Linked DNA regions of Nothobranchius furzeri. The protein of the gene in region 2 interacts with the protein of the main gene of each other region in a pairwise test. Links are inferred from orthologs where the notes say so. Each region holds a gene or a part of one and is shown on either strand. Other genes may lie near its edges.

Region 1 (12,145 bases), on a different chromosome or scaffold from region 2:
CAGTTCAACGACCTGCAGTCGCTGCTCTGTGCCACTCTGCAGGTAAGATTATGCATCTGGGCTGTGATTAAATCATGCTTTTATTCTGGTGGTTTGCTTAGTATTTCCTGTTTCCCTGCAGAACGTTCTCCGGAAGGTCCAGCACCAGGACGCACTGCAAATCTCTGATGTGGTGATGGCATCTCTGCTGCGGATGTTTCAGAGCACGGCAGGATCTGGAAGCGTTCAGGAGGACGCTCTCATGGCCGTGTCCACGCTGGTTGAAGGTACAAACCTTTTGTTGCTGTGGTAACTCGAACTACTGGGGTGGTTCTCACGGTCTCCCTGCTGCTTGTTCCAGTCCTGGGCAGCGACTTCCAGAAGTACATGGAAGCCTTCAAGCCTTTCTTGGCTATCGGACTGAAAAACTACGCTGAATACCAGGTAGGGAGGCCCAGTCCTAGGATTTCCTCTGAGCCTTTTTGTGGTACCTCTGGTCATCCTTGTGACAACAAGAACATACTCCTCAACAAGATCAGCAGATGCAAAGTAAATTAGAATTGGTTTTCATGGTTTCTGGTGTGTTGCTGTAGGTGTGTCTGGCTGCGGTGGGTCTGGTGTGTGACCTTTGCAGAGCTCTGCAGACCAACATCCTGCCTTACTGTGACGAGATCATGCAGCTGCTACTGGAGAACCTGGGGGTGAGACAGCCCAACATCTGGATTCTCCTGCGGTGTTGCTGAATCAGAATCATGTCACTGCAAGTTTAATAAACCTAAAACAAAAGCGAAGCTTTATTGTGGAACCTAATTGTACATTTCTTGATGATAAATCAGTAATATAACAATAATCCATCACTGAATTTCATTTAGAACCACCAAGTGGATTTCTAATGGTTTGTGTCTGAAACAGTTTCTGGTGCGACCCAGTCCATGATTTATTTTTGCCCTCTTCATTCACACGCCTCCTAACTCGTCTAACGACTTACTTCTGTGTTTAAGAACGAGAACGTCCACCGGTCAGTCAAGCCTCAGATCCTCTCGGCATTTGGAGACATCGCTTTGGCCATTGGAGGGGAGTTTAAGAAGTACCTGGACATTGTCCTGGACACTCTTCAGCAGGCCTCACAAGCCCAAGTGGACAAGGTAAGCTCAGACTCCCGACACCAGACTGTCCTTTCGACTTCCTGCTCATGTGATGTGGTTTCAGACGGACTACGACATGGTGGACTACCTGAATGAGCTGAGAGAGGGCTGTCTGGAGGCCTACACTGGGATCATCCAGGGCCTGAAGGGGGACCAGGAGAATGTCCACCGTAAGAAACACACCACACCAGTTTAGTGGTTCTGGTCTACGCAAGATGCAGAATGGGGAGTTTTTGTTGAACATGTGCTCCAATCATTCGACGTCTGTTCCTCTTCCTGTTTGAAGTCCAACAGGAGGATTTTATGATGTCGTAGAGAAACCTGGGTCTTTTTCACCTGGAAAGCTTCAGGCTGCAGCCAAAACCAAAACCGCTTTCTGGTTTTGCGGGACCCAACAAACCAACCAGCAGCTAAAAATCAAAGTCACCAACGGCTGCCCCCTTTCTTGTATGTCTGTTTTGTCCTGCAGCTGACGTGATGTTGGTCCAGCCTCGTGTGGAGTTCATTCTCTCCTTCATCCATCACATTGCTGAGGATGAAGATCACTCTGATGGGGTTGTGGCCAACGCTGCTGGACTCATTGGGTAACAAACCAGCTCCACATTTCAATAAAGAACACAGGAAAAAAAACGTTATTTTTATTGTTAATATTTATTATCGGCAGCAGCAGATGGGTCTGACTCTGTACGGGGAAAATGGCATCAGATTCGAAAGGTTAAACCGACAGTAGATCAGTGTGACCTGTTTCAGTTCTGCTTTCAGTACTGAGACCCAGATTGAATAGAAACAAATGTTTTCTCATTAAAGCTATGTTATAGTTGCATTTATTGCATCAGAACCTTTAAAACAAACTAGTCCTTACTGTCACTGTGTTTCTGATCTGCATGTCAGTCCATGTTGGGACAAGTGGGTGGAGCTTAAACTCACTTCTAAATAGAATCGGAGTTGGAATGTTTGGTCAATGAAGAGAAATCATGCACCACGCTGAACGTGTGATGTATAACCCAACCACAGCTTCTGAGACCAGCAGCCAGCTGTAGTCATAATCAGCCTGTCTTTGTTCCCGTGGTAACCAAAAAAATTGTTTGTCTGCAGCGACCTGTGCACGGCGTTTGGTAAAGACGTGATGAAGCTGGTGGAGGTCCGTCCGCTCATCAATGACCTGCTGACAGAAGGACGGCGCTCCAAAACCACGAAGACCAAAACCCTGGCCACCTGGGCCACCAAGGAGCTGCGCAAGCTTAAGAGCCAGGCCTGGTGAGAACAAACCAATACCACACCATGCTTCCTGGAGCGTAGCAGGTGGCTGCATCTGACCCTGGTGTGTGTCTGGTTCCAGATTGTTCCGGTCCAAACACAGAATGACGTGAGATCGATGAACTTTGAGGACAAATGGTTGTCTGGAATGACTTCTTCTGCTGCGCCTGCTGAGTCGGAAGAAATGACGTGATGAAGTGAGATGGATGAATGTGTGTGAGCGCTAGATATGACATCACACCACCTTCAGTTCCAGCTGGCGAACGAACCCCATCCCCTTTACCCCTCTCCTCTTCCTGGACGGCCTGTGGACTGGACTCTTGACGCCCCTTAAAGACTTAAACCCCTCCCTCTAGCCCCTCGTCCTCCCACAACCTCTCGCCGTGTAGCTGGGCCCTCCCATGACATCCTGATGATGTCACTGCCCCACCGCTGCCTCGCTCACACCGGGGGAGAGGGGGAGGAGGGGGGTGATCCTTAAAGACTTTGTGGAATCGGATTAACAAGCGACTTTGTGGACTTCTTCTGTGGAAAACTTTAGATTTTTGTTGCTCTTATTTTTCTTCTTCTGAGCACTAAAATGGCAAAGGAGACGCGACTGAGTGCGAGCGCCTCCACCTGCTCCGTCTCCAGGGATCTGACGCTCTTATCCAGCAGCTGAAACCCTTCAAAGTAAAAGCTCAGTGCTAAGGAGCGAGTGCCAAATGGAAATAGTTTAGCTGAAGCTCTGGAAGCCAGCGCTGTGAGCTGCTTCAGACGGATGTCCCCGCTACACTTGGTTTGGGAACGGGTCACTCACCGTTTTTGCTTGTTTAAAAGATTTCAGAGAATTGAAGACGTTTGTATAAGGTTATATTTTTCCATTACTTAGATGAAAAATAACGCTGAAAACAATAAAATGGTATGAAACATTCCCCGAGCAGTTCTGGTGATTTAGCTCTTGTCTGGACTTCTGGACTCTTTCTGGACTCTTGATTGGAAGCTGAACTCTGGCCACCTCCCACTGTTGGTTCGTGTACTCAACGCCACTAAGAACCATGAATTTTTTATTATTTTTTTTCCTAACATTGCGGCTCATCAGCGCTCCTCGCTGCTGGAACGCTGGGTTCAACTGGTGTGAAATCACAAAGCTGTGAGCACGCTCGGTGCAGTCTGCTTGCCTGAAAGTGAGAGCTTCAAACTTTGGGGGAGAGCTTTTATTTTGTAGAGGTGCAGTAGCTGTAGGGAGGATGCACTTCCTGTGTTATGACCTTGGCAACTCGATAAGAACTGAATTGTGAATCATTAAAAGCCGATCTGCTTTTTATTTCATATTAAACTTTAGTGAATTAATAAAGTCTATATCGTACTGAACCATCTGCTGCTTTTGGATCTAACGGATCTGAGACCAGTTGCTGTTGAGCCAGACTGGAAAACCTCCGAGGTTAAGTGAGCAAAAACAATTTTCTATTGTCAACGATTCTTTTTCTTAATGAACTTTGGAAGAAGAACCAAGACAGCCGTACCTAAATGTTGAGTGGACATGTTAAAATAACATTCCTCAAACCAGTAAATTAGTTTGATAACAAATCTTGGGTCTGAATTCACCTGGGAACCTCAACCCAGACCCATACTCCAGTTCAGTATTTTTAGGGAATGTCATCACTTGTGGCTTTACTTTTGTAAATAAACAGAAGCTCCCATGTTTCTACGTTACTGCATAGTGCTGCAGATTTTTATACCAACATTTCTTTCACTCAAACAGTAACCGGACGCATTTGGTGTTAATTCAGTCTTCTCTGAAAAAAGGTGACCAAATAAGCGAGACACTGGTGTGGTGCCCTTTAGTGTCCGCTTGCAGAAACCGCTGCAACTAAATCTGTTTTCTTCTCTGAAACAATGAGCAATTCATGTTGAGGCTGTTAATTTACTGTTTGTTTTGCTAAGCTTAGTTGATTTGGATGGTTGACGATTGTTGGGACTCCGGAGGTTTAAGGCTCCATTCAGATAAGCCACTTCTTGGTGAATATTCTGAACCTATCTATTCCCCTTGAATCTATCTGAAAATAATTGGTGTGTCAGTTCACTTGGCTCAAAGTTGAGTTCACACACAGCACAGCAAAATAAAATAATTTGTAAACCAGTCATAAATGACCCCCAAAATTATAGAAGCTGATGTAGTTGTATAAAACAATACAAGTCCAGTTTGTTTAGTAAAAATTGTTTTTTAGAATACAAAAATGTTTAGGGCTTGCTTTATCAAAATGGCATTTTATAATTGCACTGTAATAAATTGTAGGCCTGAATAACTTAAAAACAAAAGTTCAACAGCTGCCTTAAAAAGTTGAGTCATGTCAACTTAAATGAACTCTGTCAAGTTGTACAAATTTCATAATAACTATGCTTTGTTTGAATATTATGTTGAGTCTAAACAACAAATCTTATTAGATTACAAAGTGGAAAAATCATTTTGTTAAAAAAGCACACAATTCTACATTATGTTAACTTATAAATTTGAGTTAGACATGTATGGTTGCAAATTAAAAGTTTTTGTTAACTGAACAAATTGATTAATTGTTTAAACTCGTGTTATCAAAACGGCAGCTGTCATGCCAATACAGGCAAACGGTGAAGCAGGAAGCTATCAACACTGAAAAATGCTGGCTAACTCACCCTCATACACAATACAAGGAGCTGAGTTCTGAGCATTTACCGAGAATTACAACTTTACTTAGTGCAGTGGAGGGAAATGGCACAATGATCTTATTCCTACGACCGCCCTCCTTTCAGTGCCAACACAACAAATAACTCCACCTTTTGAACACTAAACAAAGCAAAATCTGAGAACAACACAACCACCCGCAATAAATGTGCCTAAATACCTCAAATTAGAACAAAATAATTAAGAACACAACTACCCACAATGCACCTCACCCACTGCCGCTTTCACAGTGGGCGGGGGCATTTTTTAATCTATAAATTGCAGTTTTAAGTTGACTGAATGCAGTAGAATGAGGAAAATATAATCATTTGTTGAAATAACAAGCAATTTTAAGTTTTCAATATTAAAACATAAAATTGAGTTTAACAATTAAAACTTAACAGGGAGACTAGGTGAAATAGGAAAAAAATTTAAACAACTTTTTGAGGCTCTTTTTACAGTGTACAAACCTTACTATTATTTTTTTTATTTGATAAAATCATTTTTGTTATGATAAAATAATTACAGTAGTAAATGTGAAAATAAAGCCATCTGTACATACCAGTTGATCGCAGCTGATCAGAACTACGGATCTGAGCATCGGTGATCGATTGACTAATCGATTACTGTCGCCGCCTGCGCAGCTCCGCTCCCCGCCCTGCTCTCCATCACATCTCGTTGTCTCACCGGAGGATGGGTCTACTGGAGGCTAACGGCTAACCGAGCGGGCTTCTCATGTCTCTTCTTGTTTTGGTTTCGTCCAGCGGAGCCGTTACCATCCCGAACCGGTCCGGACTCGCCGTGTCTGTGTCCCGGAGCTCCGGCGGGGAGATGCAGGAGCTGTTATGTAAGAGCGGAGCAGCTAACGTTAACCCGCCGCCATGAATGACGCGCAGCAAGAAATGTCTCCGGACTTCGTCCTGATGCGGCTCGTTTCCGCCGCTGAATACGACCGGCTGGACGAACCCGACGACCTGATCCGGTCTGTAGGCGGCGGGTTCGGGCCTGTGAAAGCAGCGCTGGGACACCGTGGTGGCGGGTTTGATCTGGACCCCAGCGGCCCCCCAGCAGGCCTCGGATCCGCATCCCCGCACTACAGCTCGCCTCTCCCCGGAAAAGGTGATCTGGACGGCGGGCTTGTGTTGACGCAGGCCCCGCCAGGTTCTGAGGCGCCGCTGTCCCCGCCACCGGAGGACTTTACTGTCGCGGCACAGCGGTTTGTGGACGGTTCGGGAGGACATGGCTCCAGGGCGCAGCTCATGGTGTTTCAAAACCTGCTGCGGTCCGGAGACCGAATGCTGGAGATCGGACTGGAGCCGCCACCTGCGGGGTACCTCCAGGAGGAGGCAGAGAGACAGAGACAGCAACTAGACCCGGTACCAGGTCCTGGGAACACAACAGCTGGTCCTGGACCTGGTGGAGGAATGGAGCAGAACTCTTCCTGCATCCCGTTAACTGGCGAGACCCTGCAGCCACCACAGCTCCTGCAGTGGCATCCAGTTCTCAGACTGTCCAAAGGGTCCGACGGGCCCCAGACCCCTCAGCAGGTTCCTGGGCTGGACTCTGTGCCCGGCTCGTTCCTGTGCCACAGATATCAGTTGGCTAAGTGGCCTCCGGGCCTGCTGGACCAAGCACTGCGCCTGGGACTACTGGAACCCAGGAAGACCTGCTCATCAGGGGGCGAAGACCCTGTCCTGGTTCTTGCTCAGAGGCTGGGGCAGCTGGGAGAGGTAAGGGAGGGTGTGGGAGGTGGGGGGGAGGACACGGAACCCCCCATCCCTCGCTGTGCCTGCCACAGCATTCTCACATCTGGAGGACTTGGTGAAGACCCAAGTGACACCAGTGATGCCCTGCTGGTTCTGGAGGGACTGGGTTCTGAGGAGGTGGGTGGACTAGGCCAAGGAGAAGGCAGGGAAGGGGAGGAGGCTGGGAAAAGAGGGCAGGTAGAGGGAGTTAGTGGAGGGGGGACACCTGGGGGGGCAGGTCCTGTGTTCTCTAGTGGGACCCTGAGTGGTCTGATGCAACAGGTCCACAGACTTGCTGAGGAGGCGGGGGTCTGCACAGACCAGAACTGCCGCTCTGCTGTCTCACCCCCCATCAACACCACTACCACCTGCCTGTACCCCCTGGTCCAACCACAGACCCCCCCACCTGCTACAGCAGCCCTCAGTGGCCTTCACGTCTCCCCTGACCCAGGTCCCCGCCCGCAGCATCAGCACCAGTCCCGGTCCCAGCCCCAGAGTCGCGCTGCCCCCCCTAAACTTGGTGTGGCCTCCGGGGGAGCTGGGCAGTCTGTCTCACCTCTGGTGGTCCTGGAGGGTGAGAAGACTTCCCGAGGAAAGTCAAGAAAGGGGGAGTCCCTTAAAGTCCGGCTCAGCAAGCTGTTCAGAACCAAGAGCTCCAGTGGGGGGTCGGGGGGACTGCTGGACAAGAGGCCATCACTGGCATCCTCCACCTCGTCTGGGGGAAGCCTGTTGGACGTGTGGGGTTCCACCTGCAGCAACATGGACCAGGACAGCAGCAGGTAAGATCCCTCGGGTGCGGGTCCAGTCTGATAGCTCCGACCTAGTGGATTGATTACTGAAGGTATGCAGGTTCAGTCCAGCTTCATAATAGATGTGTATCAGTCACCATGACAACCACAGCTTACTGGCCCTGAAACTAAACTAAAGTTGGAAAACTTTGACCTAAACTGATTTATAAAAACACCAGACATGTGAAACCATCACTGGGTTCTCAGCATGTTCTAAAGTTCTGTAAACGGTACAAGACACAAGAACTAGAACCCAGAAGCAGTAAGGTCCGTCGTTACTTGGTCCGGAGGAATTCAGAGTATCAAGATCAGCTACTGTTGCTGTGGGAGGGCTGATGCCATTTACGGGTGGGTTATCTGGGGTCCATCATTCCAATACAGGTTCACTAGAGGTCAGAGGTCATCGCTCAGAGAAATGACTAAAGACCCACAAACTCTGAGACTACAGGCCTCAGCTGGTTAAAGGTCATGACAGCTCACCTCATGCTGGCAATGTTTCATCTGAATCAACCTAATACAAAATGGAGAAATTCACCCACAATGCACAGCAGCAAAAACAGCAGATTCCCTCTGCCAAACACGGTGGTGGAGATGGTGTGGTCTGGTTCTGCGGCCCCAGGACTCGGGTCTACTATGAACTCCTCTGGGCACCAAAATATTTGAGAGTCTAATCTGAGAGCATCAGTCTTACAGCTGATGCTTGGACTGAACCGGGTCATGAAACAGAACCATGATCCAAACAGCAGCAGATCTACAACCGAATCTGGGTGCTGTGGTATGACCTTAAGAGAGCTGAGCACAACCAAATATTTGTAAACTCTAATAAGGCTGGGCTAGTACTCCAACAGAACCACATGAGAGGCTCCTGCTGGACCATGGGGTGGACCCAGTTATCTAAAGCTTCTGGGTTCTGGTTAAATATTTGAATGTGTCCTGTCCATGCCTGCTTCTCTCAGATCAGCTCTGATCCGACCCAAACTTCTTCCAGTTCCTGCACAACTGTTTCTACATCTGTTGTCATGGAGACCCACATCCCCTCTGCTCAGCAGAATGAGAAAGAGGAGGTGTTGTCATGGCAACAACATCCTCTCACTCAACAGAGGAAACTTCTGTGTGCTGAGATGTAGCTTGTCTCCATGGCAACAGCTTGGGAGTTTTTTACTGAGTGGCTTAGGGTGGGCTTTGGAGCAGACTCAGGTGTGCATCAGGTGGGCCTGTGATGTTACACACTGGTAGCCATAGAAACGTAAGTTGACACCTTGTTGTTGTTGCTGTTTGTCTCAGCAGGCTGCAGGTGTCACGACCTCACAGTGCCTTCTGCCCGGTGCCGCTCACCCCTGCTTTCACAGGTGAGTCCACGTGCACAGCTGTATGTGTGTGTGCATGTGAGTGTGTATACAAACATAAACATTCACCAGGAGCTGGAGAGCAGAAACCCAGTTCCAACGGACCAGTAAGATCCAGTCATGAAGGTTTCATGTGAGTCCAGCCTGCTTCAGACCCAGAGATGTGGGACTCTGGTTCAGTTCTGGTGCAAGCGTGAAAAGCAGAACGGGTTTCATGTTGAGTTTTAGAGAAATCTATCCCAGATCAGTGATCTGGTACACAAACCCCCAGACAGACTCAGGTCCTCTCCTGTGATGCTGATGAAGATGTTGAGGTCTTCCTCTGAGGTTCTTCTTCTGGTCCTGACTTTGTCCCAGCTCACATCTCCCCCCCCCCCCCCCCCCTTTCACTAACTCTTCCTCCTTCCTCTAACACTCCTCTTCCTCTGTCTCTGGGTGTGTCCAGGTGAGACGGTGTCTCTGGTCGATGTGGACATTTCTCGCAGGGGGGGGGGCTGTCTCCACCCCCCCACGCCCCCTCCCCCACCCAGACGGAGCCTCAGTCTGCTCGGTACTTCCTTTTCTTCACTTTCTGTTCTCCCTTCTGCTTTCTTTGCTTCTGGTTTCATGTCTTCGTTGTCAGGTAGGACTTTAGTTAAACCGGTCCGGTTCTGATCCACCGTGTGAGTTTTGGTGCCAAACGTGTTTCGATGTCTCTGTGATGAAATCTGAGTTGTTTTTAGAGGAATCGTTTGTGTTTTAAGGTGCAGGATGAGACATTTTTTGGACCTTTTTTTGCCTTATTGCTTGAAATTGTTTCACGTACCGATGGCAACCATTCAAATGTTTTGTCGTAAATAAATAATTGTAATTACCTCTGAAACTCACAATCCTGGGAAACCTCCATCCATTAGTCATCAATGTCCTGTGTAGTTAAAGTAACTTCCCAGGCCTCTGCAGCAAAACTAACAATCACACAAGCTTGGAGCGCACTGACTAATCAGTTTGCGTATCCACAACAGAGAGCTGTCACTCCACGAGAATGCGCCCCAGTTCCCAGCATGCATTGCAGGGTGATGCGGACGCCTCTGTAAGCTTAGCACACCAATCCTAGCTTTTAATAAAGGCCGTTCTGTAAACTTCGCTAACTGAAAGAAGAGGGAGAGGAACAGAAAGGGTTTGTCTTTTGTGCATCAAAGCTAAGTGTTAGCGTAGCCTTCAACAATCGTTCAGCCCCGTCTAGCGTTAGCAGGGATGGGCTACACTTGTGTGTGCCGGATTCTTTCTGGTGGGAATCATTTAGCTGTGAATCAGGAGGAACTGTCCTTTATTAGCGCTACCAGGCTGTGTGTGTGCACGTGTGTGGTATGAGGCTGAAGGGAAGCAGGAGGAGGAGCTATAGTCACTCTAATTTCAAAATCTCCTCCTCTCATTTATGATGTCACGCTATGGACTCCTGCTTTAATAAATGATCATGTCCCATCCTCTGGTCGTTCCTCTCCCCTCTGTGTGCACCAATCACACGTTCTCAGCTTGAAGCAGCTGATCTGAAGCTCTTTTAGCTAACTTCACTCATTGAATGGTTTTACAGGTATGCTGGTGCCGTACCTTAGGAGTTAAGCCGAAAAAATGTTAACAACTAAATGAAAGCTTAAAGCTACTTGAAAAGGCTACGGCTACAAGAAAAAGCTGAATTTGAACAATGGCGTCTGCTGAAGAGCTACAAACCGATGCCACATCGGCTGTTTCCTCTTGATAGGTGACATAATGTTGTTTTCATGGCTGTTTGACAGTCTCTGCTGCGTCTGGTATTCTCCTGGATTCTGGAGGTGTGGCTTAGGGGAGGAGCCTGAAAAAGGGGGTTGGACCTTTTGAATTGTGTTTTTTTTTAATGTAGCTTGAACAGCTGTTCTTCCAGGATATCCTCCACATGTAAGTTGTCTGTGCAGGATCAGAAACCACCTGGCAGTCCGACCGGCATCGGTGTGTGTGTGTGTGTGTGTGTGTGTGTGTGCGTGCGTGCGTGCGTGCGTGCGTGCGTGCGTGCAGGGGGGATTTGGTGGAAGTTTTACTTTTGAGCTACTCATGAATCTGCAGATTAATGACGCTGTGGACCAGCTTGAGGTTCAGGTTGGTCTCTGAAGATGGGAACAGGAGCACTTATCTGTCCTCCCCCATCAGGTGTGTTTGTGTCTTTGTGAACCTTCAGATGATTTTGGAGGTCCTCCTCAGCAGCAGGGGTCCTTCACTGAGCGGACCGGAGGCGCCTCAATGCAGTCTCTGCCCCCCCGACCGATGGCACTGCCCTCTTCCCTCAGCACCATCCAGCACAGCCTGAGCCTCAATGGTAAGAACAGATGGAGGTCCTCTCAGTCGGGTCTGATTGTGTGTGTGTGTACTTTGGGAGGTTGTAGAACTCTAGAAGGCCCATTTACCTTTTAACGAACAAACATATTACAGTGTAATAGACCCGATCAGGAACTCCTGATCCGGTCCTTGTCTCTGTTTCCCTCCAAGCAGCCAGACTGTTCTCTAATCAGTTATGGTGGTTCTGGATTAACAGTTCTCCAGACTTCTTGAAAGTTCTGAACTTGATCAGGAGTTCTGGACTGGATCAGGAGTTCTGAACTTGATCAGGAGTTCTGGACTGGATCATGAGTTCTGGACTGGATGAGGAGTTCTGGACTGGATCATGAGTTCTGGACTGGATCAGGAGTTCTGAACTTGATCAGGAGTTCTGGACTGGATCATGAGTTCTGGACTGGATCAGGAGTTCTGGACTGGATCAGGAGTTCTGGACTGGTTCAGGAGTTCTGGACTGGATCAGGAGTTCTGGACTGGTTCAGGAGTTCTGGACTGGATCATGAGTTCTGGACTGGATCAGGAGTTCTGAACTTGATCAGGAGTTCTGGACTGGATCAGGAGTTCTGGACTGGATCAGGAGTTCTGAACTTGATCAGGAGTTCTGGACTGGATCAGGAGTTCTGGACTGGTTCAGGAGTTCTGAACTTGATCAGGAGTTCTGGACTGGTTCAGGAGTTCTGGACTGGATCAGGAGTTCTGGACTGGTTCAGGAGTTCTGGACTGGATCAGGAGTTCTGGACTGGTTCAGGAGTTCTGGACTGGATCATGAGTTCTGGACTGGATCATGAGTTCTGAACTTGATCAGGAGTTCTGAACTTGATCAGGTGTTCTGGACTGGATCAGGAGTTCTGAACTTGATCAG
Region 2 (12,045 bases):
CTTTGGCCAAGTGAAGTTAGAACATCTTTATCTTTGAGTTTGAGGGAAACCATGCAGTTTTGGCTTGCTGTTAGCACTCCCTAGAGTCCATTATCAATCCACAGTTGTAAAACCGAAAGTGAAACTCTTTTCTTTGCTCTGCATTTTTAACACCTTAATCTAACTGCTGAAATGACTCTGCAGCCTCCATTAGTGTCTGCAGGAGCGACTCATCACTAAATCAAACAAAGAAGCTGTGTTCATGATCTAAAACAAGCAGTAACCATGCTGGAAGCAGACTGCAGCGCCAGGTACGCCAGCTCCACATTACTAAGACTAAAGTAGGACCATACAGGGAGTGGTCCAGATAAGTTGCAAGTCCGGTATTCTGGCCACAGGTGGTGGTGGGGTCTGAGTGACATTTATTTAATCCTTTTACAGGTCAATCTAGCACAAACTGGCTCAATAAAATGATTTAAAAATAGGAAAAGTTGATCTCTTTTAAATCATACTCAGATTTATAATTAGAATTTCTCTGATGTAAGTCCTGGAGTTTAAAAAACAGCTTATTTAAGACCTTATGCTCTTGGTAAATGTAATCACATTTTTCTAAAGAATATGTTAATGTGTCATCTGTGTGCCAAAATAGGACGCTCCTCTCAGCATCCAATTAGCTCCTCTCCAAACTGTTCCCATGTTTCTGCCAAGAGAAAATCAGCACAACACGTTGTTTTGATCCCTCTGGTTGGATGGATTTAACAAACAGAACAGTACAACGCCAAGACAGCTGTTTGCTTTTTGTCCAGATGGCTAGATCTACGCTGCTCCATACTTACAGCACACAACATGTATGTTAACATCTTACTAGAAACATTAGATCACATAAGAAAAATGTGAAAATGTTCTTAAACTCTTCTAGGTGTCAGAAAAGCTATTCTACTTCACCATTTTGGCTCAATGTGTGGACCGGACAAGAGAACGACTCACTTTACGGAAAGAAAGTTCAACAGGTAGGTCAGCGTTGAAGTTGTACAGAGCTACAGCTTCGCCGTACTCCAGCACCTGAAGAGTGGGAGACCTTAAGGGTGTTGGCTTCTCTGTCGGAGGCAGAACCTAAAAATACACATAAACCATAACTCAGTAGCCTTTATAACACAAAGTACTTCAATAAGATCTGGCGTTAAATGACATAATTCACCTCTACATAAGAAGTGGGGAAGATCCCAGCTCTACCATGGTGCTCCCCTTCAAACCAATTGGCATCGACCTGCCTGTGGATGTAAACAATGTCGCCTTTCTGCAGTGTGAGCTCCCTGAGTGTAGGAGAAAGCGTGCAATCTAAGTTCCTGATTTGAGATTTTCTTTTAAAATATCATCGGAGTAAGATTTAAAGGTACATGAAGTAAGAATGGCATCCTGTGGACAGATGTGGGTACTGCAGTCCATGTTTCAAAACAAATGTGTGACTCTCCTCCCTCCTGATCGTGAGTTTCATGGCTGTTGCCAGTTACGGCTCAACGCCAGAAGATTCTAGATGACGAGCGAAGACGAGTCATACACTGTAAGTTTATAAGCCATTAGAATTGTTAGCTCAGCATTAGCCACTACCCTACTGTACCCAATATTAGAGTAAACCAAATAGACGCTGCGGCTTCTTGGGGGCACAAGAAGCAACTTCTGGGTCGCTCCTGCTACTGGGTAACATTGTTTCCATAGAGCAGCTGCACAGACTCTGTAACCCTGCAGGCTCAGCGATTGTAAACAAAGACTATGTCCCTCTTTAGCTTTTTTGAAAGGAGGAAAACTGACAAAGCTGAGAATTAAATCTGTTTTAATGTAACCTTCCTTCCAACATGATCGACACATTAGACTGTTTAGTGATTATTGCACAGTAAGAGTCTTACTTATTGTACCTTTAAGGTTTACCACATCATTATAAAATTATCACGTTGAAAGAATCTGATGAAGAACTACTCACTTGGGAGACTGAGCCTGGAAATTAAACTTGGCTCTTGCAGCTTTCATCTAAAATAGGAAGATTTACATTCATACTGCAACTATCAGAAAACGTTCATTTTACATTTTGCAGCTTTTCCAGTGACTAGAATTAGTTCAGACGTACCTTTTTCTCTTCTTTCTTTGATGGGAACTCCATGTTTTCATTTGCAGATGGAAGACGTTCTACTGTGGAGCACAACAAGAAGGCTCTAAACACTGAACTCTTTTGTTCTGCGTTTTGTTCTTAAGCGTGTTGCCATTACAGCCAGAACAAGTTCAAAAGCTCTAGGGATGCTACATTTCCAGGGAAAGAAACGGGATGAAGTTAATCTTCAATCAGTTCTTCCGAGTTTCACTTCCTATTTTTGTGAGCTTCCTCCCCACCCATCTACAGCTGTTTCCATAGAGAAGGGAAAACGGTCTAATGAGGGCAACACCAGAGCAGAAGACACCACCAGCAACAAAGCCAAACCATGAGACCGTCATACAATATTAGATTACTCGATGCTTTTATCAAACGTATTAGATCAGTGGGATGGTCGCTGAAGGGAGACAGTTACACAGAGAAAAACATCCAAACAGATAAAGAGGTTGTTTTCTTACCATGTGCAGGAGCAGATGTTATTAATGGGCCACCAGAATGCAGGTCAGGCTGCTTTGATGCTGGCAAATTCCTGAAAATGTGAAAAAGATAGACATAAATTAACTTTTGAGGTTTTATTAGTTTTCTGGTCCAGTGGAGGACTTTCTAAGAGCAAAAAAAGGCTGAATACAGCAGGGAATAGATGCATCCGGCACTTTCCCTCAGCTTTACAGTGTACATCAACTGTTTGCAGCTGGTTTTGATATTTTTGAATGGAGAAGAAACAAATTATCAGACAAGATTTTATCCTTTTTCACTGGAAATCTTGTTTCAATGAGCTTCATGAAGCTCTATTCATGACCAGGAACAGGTGTGTTTCTGTGTTGAGCTTTATCTCCTAACCCACAGATTCCAGCTTTCCTTTTGTTTTTCAGTGTTTGGCAGGCGGACAGAAGAATCGTAGCTGCTACATGCTTTAAATTTACACATTCTTAGTGAAATCCCCTCAGGATTGGAAACAATTGCTCAGTTTAGCAAACAGCAGCATGAACTCTTCAGGAATGCATTACACACAAGGTGAGAAATGAGTTAGTGGAAACTTAATTTGTTTACCTGACAGCTGCCCAACACTAAGTCACATATTAATCTAACACACAACTATAACACTTGGATTCCTGAATCAGCAGGAGGTCTGCTGTGATTTCAACTAAACAACGATGCAACATGAAAGTGGACTGGGGAGGGTGGGGGCGGCTTAACCCTGATTTTTCAGCTTCTTTATGCTTAAATGATGCAAACTTTATGGATTATCGAGCATCTACTTCTCTATAGTTGATTGCAGTTTCAGTTGCAGCCTTGCTTCATGCACGTTTGTTTGTATTCTAGTGAAAAGAATGAATCACATTAACAGGATCAGCTTGTCACAATGGTGTAAACCTCCCATAAAACAGTTTTAGACAAACGCACAAGAGAGAAGCGTAGAACACAAGTATTTATCTCACTCTAAAACTAAAATACTCATAAATTATAGAAAAATTGGACTAAAAGGTGATGAAAAGCTGATAACTTGATCTTTATAGCTTCATTGAAATGGTACGGTGTAGATCAACTAACCTGTGGTTGGGAGTCTTTGGAGTGGGATCTGGATCCCTGTTTCTGGCCTCCTGTAAGCAGAGGGAACCCTTTAGGACGTTGCTCTCTGCAGCACCACTCAGCCTTCTGCATCTCATACTTCAGAGGAAATCTCACAACAACTCAGACAAAGTAGAGGTGCTGCTGACCACTCCCAAGTGAGCAAAGAAATCCCCAGGGTCCTATCCTCCTCGAGCTTGCAGCAACACGGCTCATGATCTGTCTGAGCTGTCTGTGATTTCATGCTAACCCTAGGAGGCTGGTTCTGTCACAGAAACATCAAACATGACATCAGAGCTGTTGGAAAGTTCCCGTGGAGCAGGGAAGAGGAGGAGCAGGCAGCACTATGGTTGTATATGATCTAAAGGAAACTATGTTTTTATCTTTTGCTCTTTTGGCAGCCAGGTCTAGATTTGCTGTGGGGAACTGTCAGGAGGGCGATTAAGAGAGAAGATCAATCTGAGTGCAGGGCAGGCAGGCCATTCTCAGGCAGTCAAAGAGAAGAATGTTCACGTTCTCAGCTAGCAAGCAAAGGGATCTCATTGACACGTAGCTTTCACTGGGAGGGTAGGGAACGGGAGTGGGTGGGAATTCTGCTAGATTGGTGAGATAGAGGGGGTGATTTGGCAGAAAGAGTCGGTAGGGAGGCTCAGTACCTCACCCCGGCCTTGACGCTGCTTCTTCTGGGAAAGAGTCCTCTCCAGGCCCTGAATCTCCGAGTCCAGCTCAGCCTCGAATCGACTCAGCTCAGACGCCAGACTGGCCTGACTCCCGCAATTAAAGAGTTGGAATAAATAAAACACAGCTAGAGCAGGGGTTCTGGAGCTTAAGTGGCCCTCGTTTACTTTTAATATTCATAAAGTCAACAAAATAATTCTACGTGAAATTGTGTTGTGGATGCTTACCTCAATGGAAGGGGACTTGGGTTTCTCGGGTTGTGTCTTTGGGGATAAAAAAGTCTAAAAGAAGAGAAAAAAGAGAACACAGTTGAAGCAGATTTAGAGCTAAACATTAGTGATGTTGTTGCACCAAATGGAAAAAGAAGATAACAAGAGAAATAAACTGATTGTGGCCTTAAAGCGGGACATAATGTGTTTTTTTTTTGTTTTGTTTTTGTTTTTTTGTTTTTCAAAAATCTGCATTGGTTTTTAGTATTATTAAAGATTAAATTAAAGTCCCATACACATGTCACACACACTGGTGTGGTGTGGTGAAAATTATCCTCCACATTTGACCCATCCCCGTGGGGAGCGGTGAGCTGCAGACATGGCCATGCTCCGGAACTATTAGGTGGTTTATGAGTGCATGCCTTAGTCGATCTCTGTGGAAAAAAGCTCTTGCGCTCCTGTTTTAGGAAGTAAAAGGTTAGCTGGAGGGAAGGGGGGCTGAAAACCGACGCGATTTGGAATTTCACTCATTATCATTCATGCTATGTGGAAATCTGGCCTCTAATTGGCTAACAGCAACACAACTCTACCATTGACTCAGTTTGCGCTGTAACGCTGATGTTTTATCTCCATAAATAACTCAAACATGAAGGAGTTGCTAATGCTAACAATTAGCTTCACTAGCTGAGGTGAGCTCTGCTCTCTCCTGGATGTGAAAATCAACAACAGCCTTTCCCAGTTGTGAGCCCAGGTGGCTGGGTCCATGACAGCTATTTGACGTAGATCTGAATGACTTTTTCTGATCTGAGTGTTTCCCCGTATATTTTCTTCTGGTGTCACAACAGGTCGGTGTTTAGGCGTGAAACTTTTTGGCACAGAAATTTTACCAAGTTGAGCAAAAGTTATGAAATTACTCCACAAACAGACTTTGTTTTAAGTGAAAACTTAAAATTTTCTGAGTGTTTGGTATAAAACACATGAATTAAATCAGTTTCCATACAAAAGCTGTTTTTTACCCTCTCAGGCTCAAAAAAAGTCTTGATAAAAGGACGAACAACTAAGTCCTTCAGGAGTACTTCTGAGTTTAAAAATGCTCATGTATGTGGAGTAGCCAGGTAGGTAGGTTTTAACGTTGCAAATCTGCAACGCCTGCCTGCAGAGGGTTAAATAATCTTTCAGAATAAGAGTTTCCAAAATGCAGAGGTCAAAGTACAACATCTATAGCCTGCCAAAGCACATTTTGGACTCAACACTGCTGAGGTATAAACCAGCACATTTTTTTCTGTTTAACAAGCGCTGAAATAACTCGTTCACTCCCTCTCTGCACATATTTGACACCACTCGCCGCTGATTCGATCGAACATTACTTTAAAAGGCCCTGTTGGTGAGAACCGCAGACGACTGCTTCATTTTTTAGTAGAACCTTGGCTGAACGTGTCTCTCTGAATGCCAGAAACCTTCATCGTCCCGTCTGCAAGCACAAACAGCGATGTCACAGAGAAGCAGCACAACACCTGATATGGTCTGTGAGCTGCTTTTCTAAATGCAGGGGATACGGCTTCAGCCAATTCCACAAAGACTAAATGAAAGAAGTCCCCGTGCTGTGAGCCATTAAACACCACAAGAGGTTAACACCATAATACAAATCACAAGACACATCAGCTCCCATGGGGGAGTGGAAACAAAGATTTATTTTCTTCTTCAGATGAGACACAGTATGCACCACAGATCTGGAGCAGTGTTCCCAAACAACCCGAAAACTCACAGGGTGTATTAAAACCCACAAACACTAAAATAACTAATAAATCACAGCAGAAAGCCAAAACCATGGGAGAAATCATCAAAAACTGATTCTGTACAAACCACAATAGATTAGTCCCTTTTTCTCTGCAAATCTGAATGCATCATTGTTGAGATGACTAACAGGGATGAGCTCACCTGGAGTTTAGAACCCTCTGGTGAACATTGTCTGTCTTTACCAGGTACTGCATAAGTTGCACGAGAAGATGAAAAACAAGGGCTCAGACGATAATCCTAGAAGACGTGACCGACTGAGACAACAAACCATACTGAGAATTGCACCTATAAGTCCCAACAACAATGCTGAGGAAATTTAAAGATTAAAAGAACTTTATTTTGGACTTAGAGTCTATTTTTAAACCGTGTGACTGCGTGTGAGGTCGTACCTGGCTGTGAGTTTCTGAGGTGGGGCTCTTTCCGGGCTCAAAGTCGAAAATGCTCCTCGGCTGAGGTTGTTGCTTTCCGGGGTCTGACAGCTTATCTACATCCTCGCTCCTGAAAGGTAACACCCCAACACACACACACACACACACACACACACACACACACACACACACACACACACACACACACACACAACTTAGTTTCGGCTTCATTGTGAGTGCTGTAACAACAGATCCAAACTTGTCCGTCCTACACGTTTACTCTCCGCTGCACATGGGCAAAGTTTTGGTTGGTTTTTTTGGTAACACTTTACAAAAAGGGTTGCTTCATTAATGTTACTTTGTGCATTATTAAGCATTAATAAACTATTTTAAAAAGTTTTAACAACTGCTTAAACATATTATTATGCATTATTAAGCAGACCATCCCCGTCCCTTTGCGTTAACTTAAAGGAAACGCAATAGTTAACAATAACGGTAGCATTAATATAGGTGTCCTTTCTTTATTAATACTTAACTCACTCACTAAGTAATGTTAATGAAGGGACATTTATTGTAAAGTGCTGCTGGTATTTCTACAAGTCAAGCTATATCCTGGTAAATAATGACTTCTTTTCATTTAATTTTACTTCTTAATAAAAAATAAAAGAAAAACATGCCAGCACCACTAACAGTTCACTACTAAAATTTTATTTTTCTTTTTTATGCGTGTGCAGTTAAATTACGTGAGGCAGCTTAATTTAAACAGCACATTTCATACACAGACAGTGACAACATACAACAGTAAATTTTAAAATCCACTTTATAATACACAAACAGAATTACATTTTAAAAAGGCTAAGTTAAACACTGAGCAGTTACAGTCACAGACGGTGCAACATAAGAAACAATAACTCAAAGGCTGATGAATGCTTGAATGTTTTCACTTTGATTTAAAGGTTTCTGGTTTGGGGATTTGAGGTAAAGGGAAGCTGAATCTGTGTGCAGCAAAGTAGCTAAACGCAACTTCTGTTTGGTTCAGAATTGTTTTAAATGATAAAAAATGTAGTAAAAAATTACTTAAAGTTTTGAAATCTTTGTTTAATGCTTCCTCAAAAAGTATGATTCTAGCAGGGACAGGCTAGCTTAGTTGTGTGCTAATTAGCAACGGTAGCTATCATAACAGTTGAGCACATATCAGTCCGAAGTCTGAACATTTGCAGACTTTATGGATCATCAGGGAACTAAAAAACATCCATAATGCATTTAGAAATATTGTGTTTACTGACAGAGACCAAACGTTGGCTGAGCCTTAAAAATCCTGACTATGTCTGTCGTCAACAACTTGGTAATTTTTTTTATCCTCCTTCTTCAGCCAACTTGTCCTCCTTTTGCTTGTTACCATGGGAACGAGACTTCCAACAAGATGCAGAGTACAACCTGCTGCAGCTTCGTCTGTTTCAGACGTTTAACTGAAATCTAGTAAACTTGTTGGTAAGGTGAATAAAATATCATAACAAGTAATTCTGACAAATACCAGGTTTACTACATCGTTTTCATTTTACTCTTATCGCTGAGGTTTTTGTTTTATCTAAGAGGCTATTATTTATCTGTGATGTTAATCTGCCTAAATCTTTTTTTTCTCAGAAAATGAAACTGAATGTGTTAGATGAACTCTGCGTACACTCACCAATCTGGCAGAGACCCATAAGGTGTCAGTCTGAAGAGATTCTTGTCGGCTTCATTACTTTCTACTTTGTCAGCAGATGACGGGAGCCCTGCTGGTCATACCAGATTAAACGTTAACTATGATCAGACTAACCAAGGCGGAATGGGGCCGAATGTGGCGGAATCACCCACGTTCTCCTGAACACCAGTCCGAATCTTCCAGCTCTGGTTTGGAGAAAACAAAAAGATAATTTTTAGATGTTTTATGTCATTTAGTTACATGCTTTTTCTGAAACCAAATAATATTTTACACTGAGCTCTGAGGATACGTGTGAAAAGATGATGAAAGCAGGGTTTGAATTATGGGCAAGCTAGGGGAGCCTGGCTCCCCCGAAAGGGCGAAGGGCTCCCCGGAAGTTCTCAACTGATACACCCAGGAGGAGCCCGAAAAATGGTCCAGCCCCCACCCCTGCCATTACAATGAAGGTGATTGGACGGACCACTCAAACACCCCGCACTCTCTGTCACAGAGTTTTAATAGAGGTGATCTGACGGACAACCCCACCCCTCACCTCTCATTCTTACTAACCCCCCACCAGATGCCCATATGTAAATCAAGCTCTGGATGAAAATCAACATTTTAGAAACTTGATTGCAATATTAGATGTATTTCTTGCTGTAAATGTATTGAAGCAGGAGGATCATCTCTGCAGCAGCAGAGAAGGAGGAGGAGGAGCATCCTTACCTTGTGGCTTCTTGTGAATCTGTCTGAACATGCTCCTGTACCAGTCTCTGGGCTTGTTCACACTCTGGTGTAAGAAAACAGGCACATAAAGAAAGTAAATTTGTGGATTCAGGTGAGCTGAAACAAGAGCAGAAGGAGAAGATGCATTTGTGGCTCACAGATCTGGAGGCGATGGGCATCCCGCTCTCATCCACTGGTCCGATACCCGAGAACTTAATGAGCCTCTCCTCCCCGCTGGGCGTCCAGCTGCGTGGTAACGTGGAAGAGCTCTGGCCTCCATTAGACAGCCCAACTGAGAGACATGTGTGACTGATTTTAGATGACAACATGAATGAGACAGGTTTGAAGTTTTTACACGCCTTTTACGGTTCATGTCATTCCAGCTTTAACATTTATTTCAGATGTTTGACTAATATAAAATAAAACGCACAAATTCTGGACATTTTGCTTTTTGTAGACTTTTCCAAACTCACATCTGGGTTCCTGAGATCATCCTTCTAATTGTTTCTCTAAATTTAAATTACAGATTAAAACATTAGTGTTTGTACCTTGTGACTGTGAAGGTCCGTAGTATGACCCAAAGCTAAGAGTAGATGGTCCTCCGCCGTTCAGATCCGAGCCCTTGAGTAAACAGAAACATCCCGATAACTCCTGTTTTCCAGCTAAACTTTGGACTGCATGAGTTGTTTGTAGGAGACGTGATGCATTATCTTTCCACAGGGAGGAGCAGTTGTTTTCCTAATTCTTTGCACTAAACCAGTCTGAAGGATGTCACATACCCTGACAGCTCCAGATGGCAGCCTCGCCGAGCGAAACGGACTCAGAGGAGGAGTTGGGAGTCCGGGAGAGATGACCACTTCATGAGTCAGATCTGGAGAATTCAGGATGTATGGGGTTGAAGGAGCTTCCGGGTCCCCGGATGAAGCAGCCTGGGAGCCATTTGTATGGCCGAACACTTCTGCACTCTGCTGCTTCACACAGAGGAAATGAGAAATATGGATGAACAAAAACAATGGGTGAACTTTGCTGCTGTCATGTCCTCCTGTGGGCTCCGAGTAAACAAGGCGCTCTGTGAAAGGTCATGTGAACTTGTTAGCTGCCCTGCTATTCTCTGGAGAACAACTGGCCTCTGTGGGGGGAGCTTGTGATGAAAAGGCCCTCTAACTTATTTAAAGCAGGAGCAGTGGGACGCGGGTTTCCACCCTCGTTATCTACCACAGCTACAGAAAGGCCTCGTTCAAGGTGCAGAGGTGCTGAGTGGACTGTTTATGAGCTCATAATCCTCCTGTTTACAAGACATGAGGTGGAGCTGGGGAGGCATAAGTCAGTCAATCTGATGACAAACTTAACCCAACTCCTGAATCAGGTGCTTAGGTTCTCTGTGGTCACAGAGGTCAGGGGAAATCTCCCTGTTTCTTGCACAAGAGGCTTGTTTTTGTGACAGAAGCTGCATGTGCTTGTCTTTTATTTTGTTTAACATTGCCGGTTTGCACGGTTTTACCTGAGTCTGCATGTGATCCTTTATTTTCCTCCTATGGTAGATATCAGACTCTTGCACCCAACATCGAGTATCTGCAAAGACACATTTGTTGACATGTAAAAATCAGTTTAAAGAAAATGTGAAAATAACATTACAGTTTCGATATGTGCAGGTCTTTAACTGTTGTGGCCATTGTTTGGGATTAACACCAGCTTTTCCCCCAGGCTGAAACATCTGTTCCATTACCCCATCCAACCGTTATCCCATCGAGGAAAAGTCAGCGTCATACTGCAGCGGTGGAGAAACCCACCCGAGTGACTCACACTCCCGCCTTCTTACTCCCAATAACAACTCTCTAATCTGGGTTGGATGATGGAGAATGTCGTCTACAGAAGGCAGAGATTAGATCCCTATCGATTTCACTTCAGACAAGACTTCCCGTTTCAGCATCAAAGGTGTGTTGAGGGGGGGGGGGACCTGTTTTTTGCTGAACAAGTCAGGCAAATACACAGTAAAAACGTGAAGTATTTTCAGTTGTAAAAACTTTGAAGACCAAGTTCACTTTTTTTCCAACACATTGTTAGTAGTATCCAGTATGAATGAATGAATGTTGATCTCTGTGTAGAAGAAAAGCTCTGGCGCTTGTGTTGCAGGAAGTTAGCTTAAAGAGAGGTGAGCAGAACACAGCAGGATTTGGACATCTCGCCTCTGATTGGCTAACAGCAACGTGACTCCACCACTGAGTCCATTCGCTCTGCAACGTTGATCTTTTATCTCCACTAATAACACAACTCTGACAAGTCCTGACGCGTTGTGCAGTTGCTAATGCTAACGATTAGCTTCTACTAGCCAAGAGGTGCTCTGCTCTCTCCTGATGCTAAATCAACAACAGCCTTCCCTGTTGCGAGCTTAGATGGGTGAGTCTATGAATGCTTATTTTCAGTTTAACGTGGATCTAACCAGCTTTTTCTGACCCGAACGTTTCCCCGTCTGTTTCCCATTGGTGGCTAATGCAGGAAATAGGGGAAGAAGACTATTTTCATGTTTAGCCTGCATGTTAAACCGTAAAAAAATAGTTTTTCTGTAAACTTGGCCTCTAAAATATCAATTTCATACATTTGTGACTATATTTCATGTCAGTCCAGTAAAACAAGGCAGTTAAATGTTTCAGCGCAACTTTGTGAGTTGTCAGTTCTTAAACCTTATACCATTGCAACAAACTAGAATTCTGCTTATTTATTTATTTGTTTATTTGTTTGTTTATTTATTTACTTTTTGTAGTGAGAATGGAGGAAAACCAACTACTGGAGTTGGACTTCCTTCCTGAGGCTCAGTTTGCTGCACAGAGCAGGAGGCTGCACACACAGCAGCTAAACCCACCTCATCAGCAGCTCCAGACCCATCTGACTCCC

Evidence for each region.
Region 1: the proteins of sorbs3 (region 2) and suppressor of cytokine signaling 7 interact in binary tests that used the Homo sapiens proteins (3 or more experiments, as listed by UniProt). The link is inferred for Nothobranchius furzeri from reciprocal best matches to the Homo sapiens genes SORBS3 and SOCS7.

The regions. Positions count from the first base shown.
Region 1 is NC_091745.1:29,710,358-29,722,502, reverse strand, and holds the start of suppressor of cytokine signaling 7, read left to right. Parts: upstream 1-5,721; 5' UTR 5,722-5,942; coding exon 5,943-7,585; intron 7,586-8,878; coding exon 8,879-8,943; intron 8,944-9,385; coding exon 9,386-9,490; intron 9,491-11,128; coding exon 11,129-11,266; intron 11,267-12,145. Other genes in the region: kpnb1 (importin subunit beta-1), read left to right, coding at 1-42, 122-266, 341-423, 573-680, 981-1,124, 1,189-1,294, 1,594-1,708, 2,220-2,381 and 1 more. UniProt on the Homo sapiens protein: Substrate-recognition component of a cullin-5-RING E3 ubiquitin-protein ligase complex (ECS complex, also named CRL5 complex), which mediates the ubiquitination and subsequent proteasomal degradation of target proteins, such as DAB1 and IRS1.
Region 2 is NC_091757.1:39,854,896-39,866,940, reverse strand, and holds part of sorbs3 (vinexin), read right to left. Parts: intron 10,726-12,045; 5' UTR 10,667-10,725; coding exon 10,655-10,666; intron 10,125-10,654; coding exon 9,933-10,124; intron 9,775-9,932; coding exon 9,702-9,774; intron 9,446-9,701; coding exon 9,312-9,445; intron 9,218-9,311; coding exon 9,154-9,217; intron 8,634-9,153; coding exon 8,601-8,633; intron 8,522-8,600; coding exon 8,431-8,521; intron 6,874-8,430; coding exon 6,765-6,873; intron 4,651-6,764; coding exon 4,597-4,650; intron 4,456-4,596; coding exon 4,348-4,455; intron 3,724-4,347; coding exon 3,674-3,723; intron 3,442-3,673; coding exon 3,382-3,441; intron 2,652-3,381; coding exon 2,581-2,651; intron 2,164-2,580; coding exon 2,102-2,163; intron 2,005-2,101; coding exon 1,958-2,004; intron 1,293-1,957; coding exon 1,178-1,292; intron 1,093-1,177; coding exon 967-1,092; intron 1-966. UniProt on the Homo sapiens protein: Vinexin alpha isoform promotes up-regulation of actin stress fiber formation. Vinexin beta isoform plays a role in cell spreading and enhances the activation of JNK/SAPK in response to EGF stimulation by using its third SH3 domain.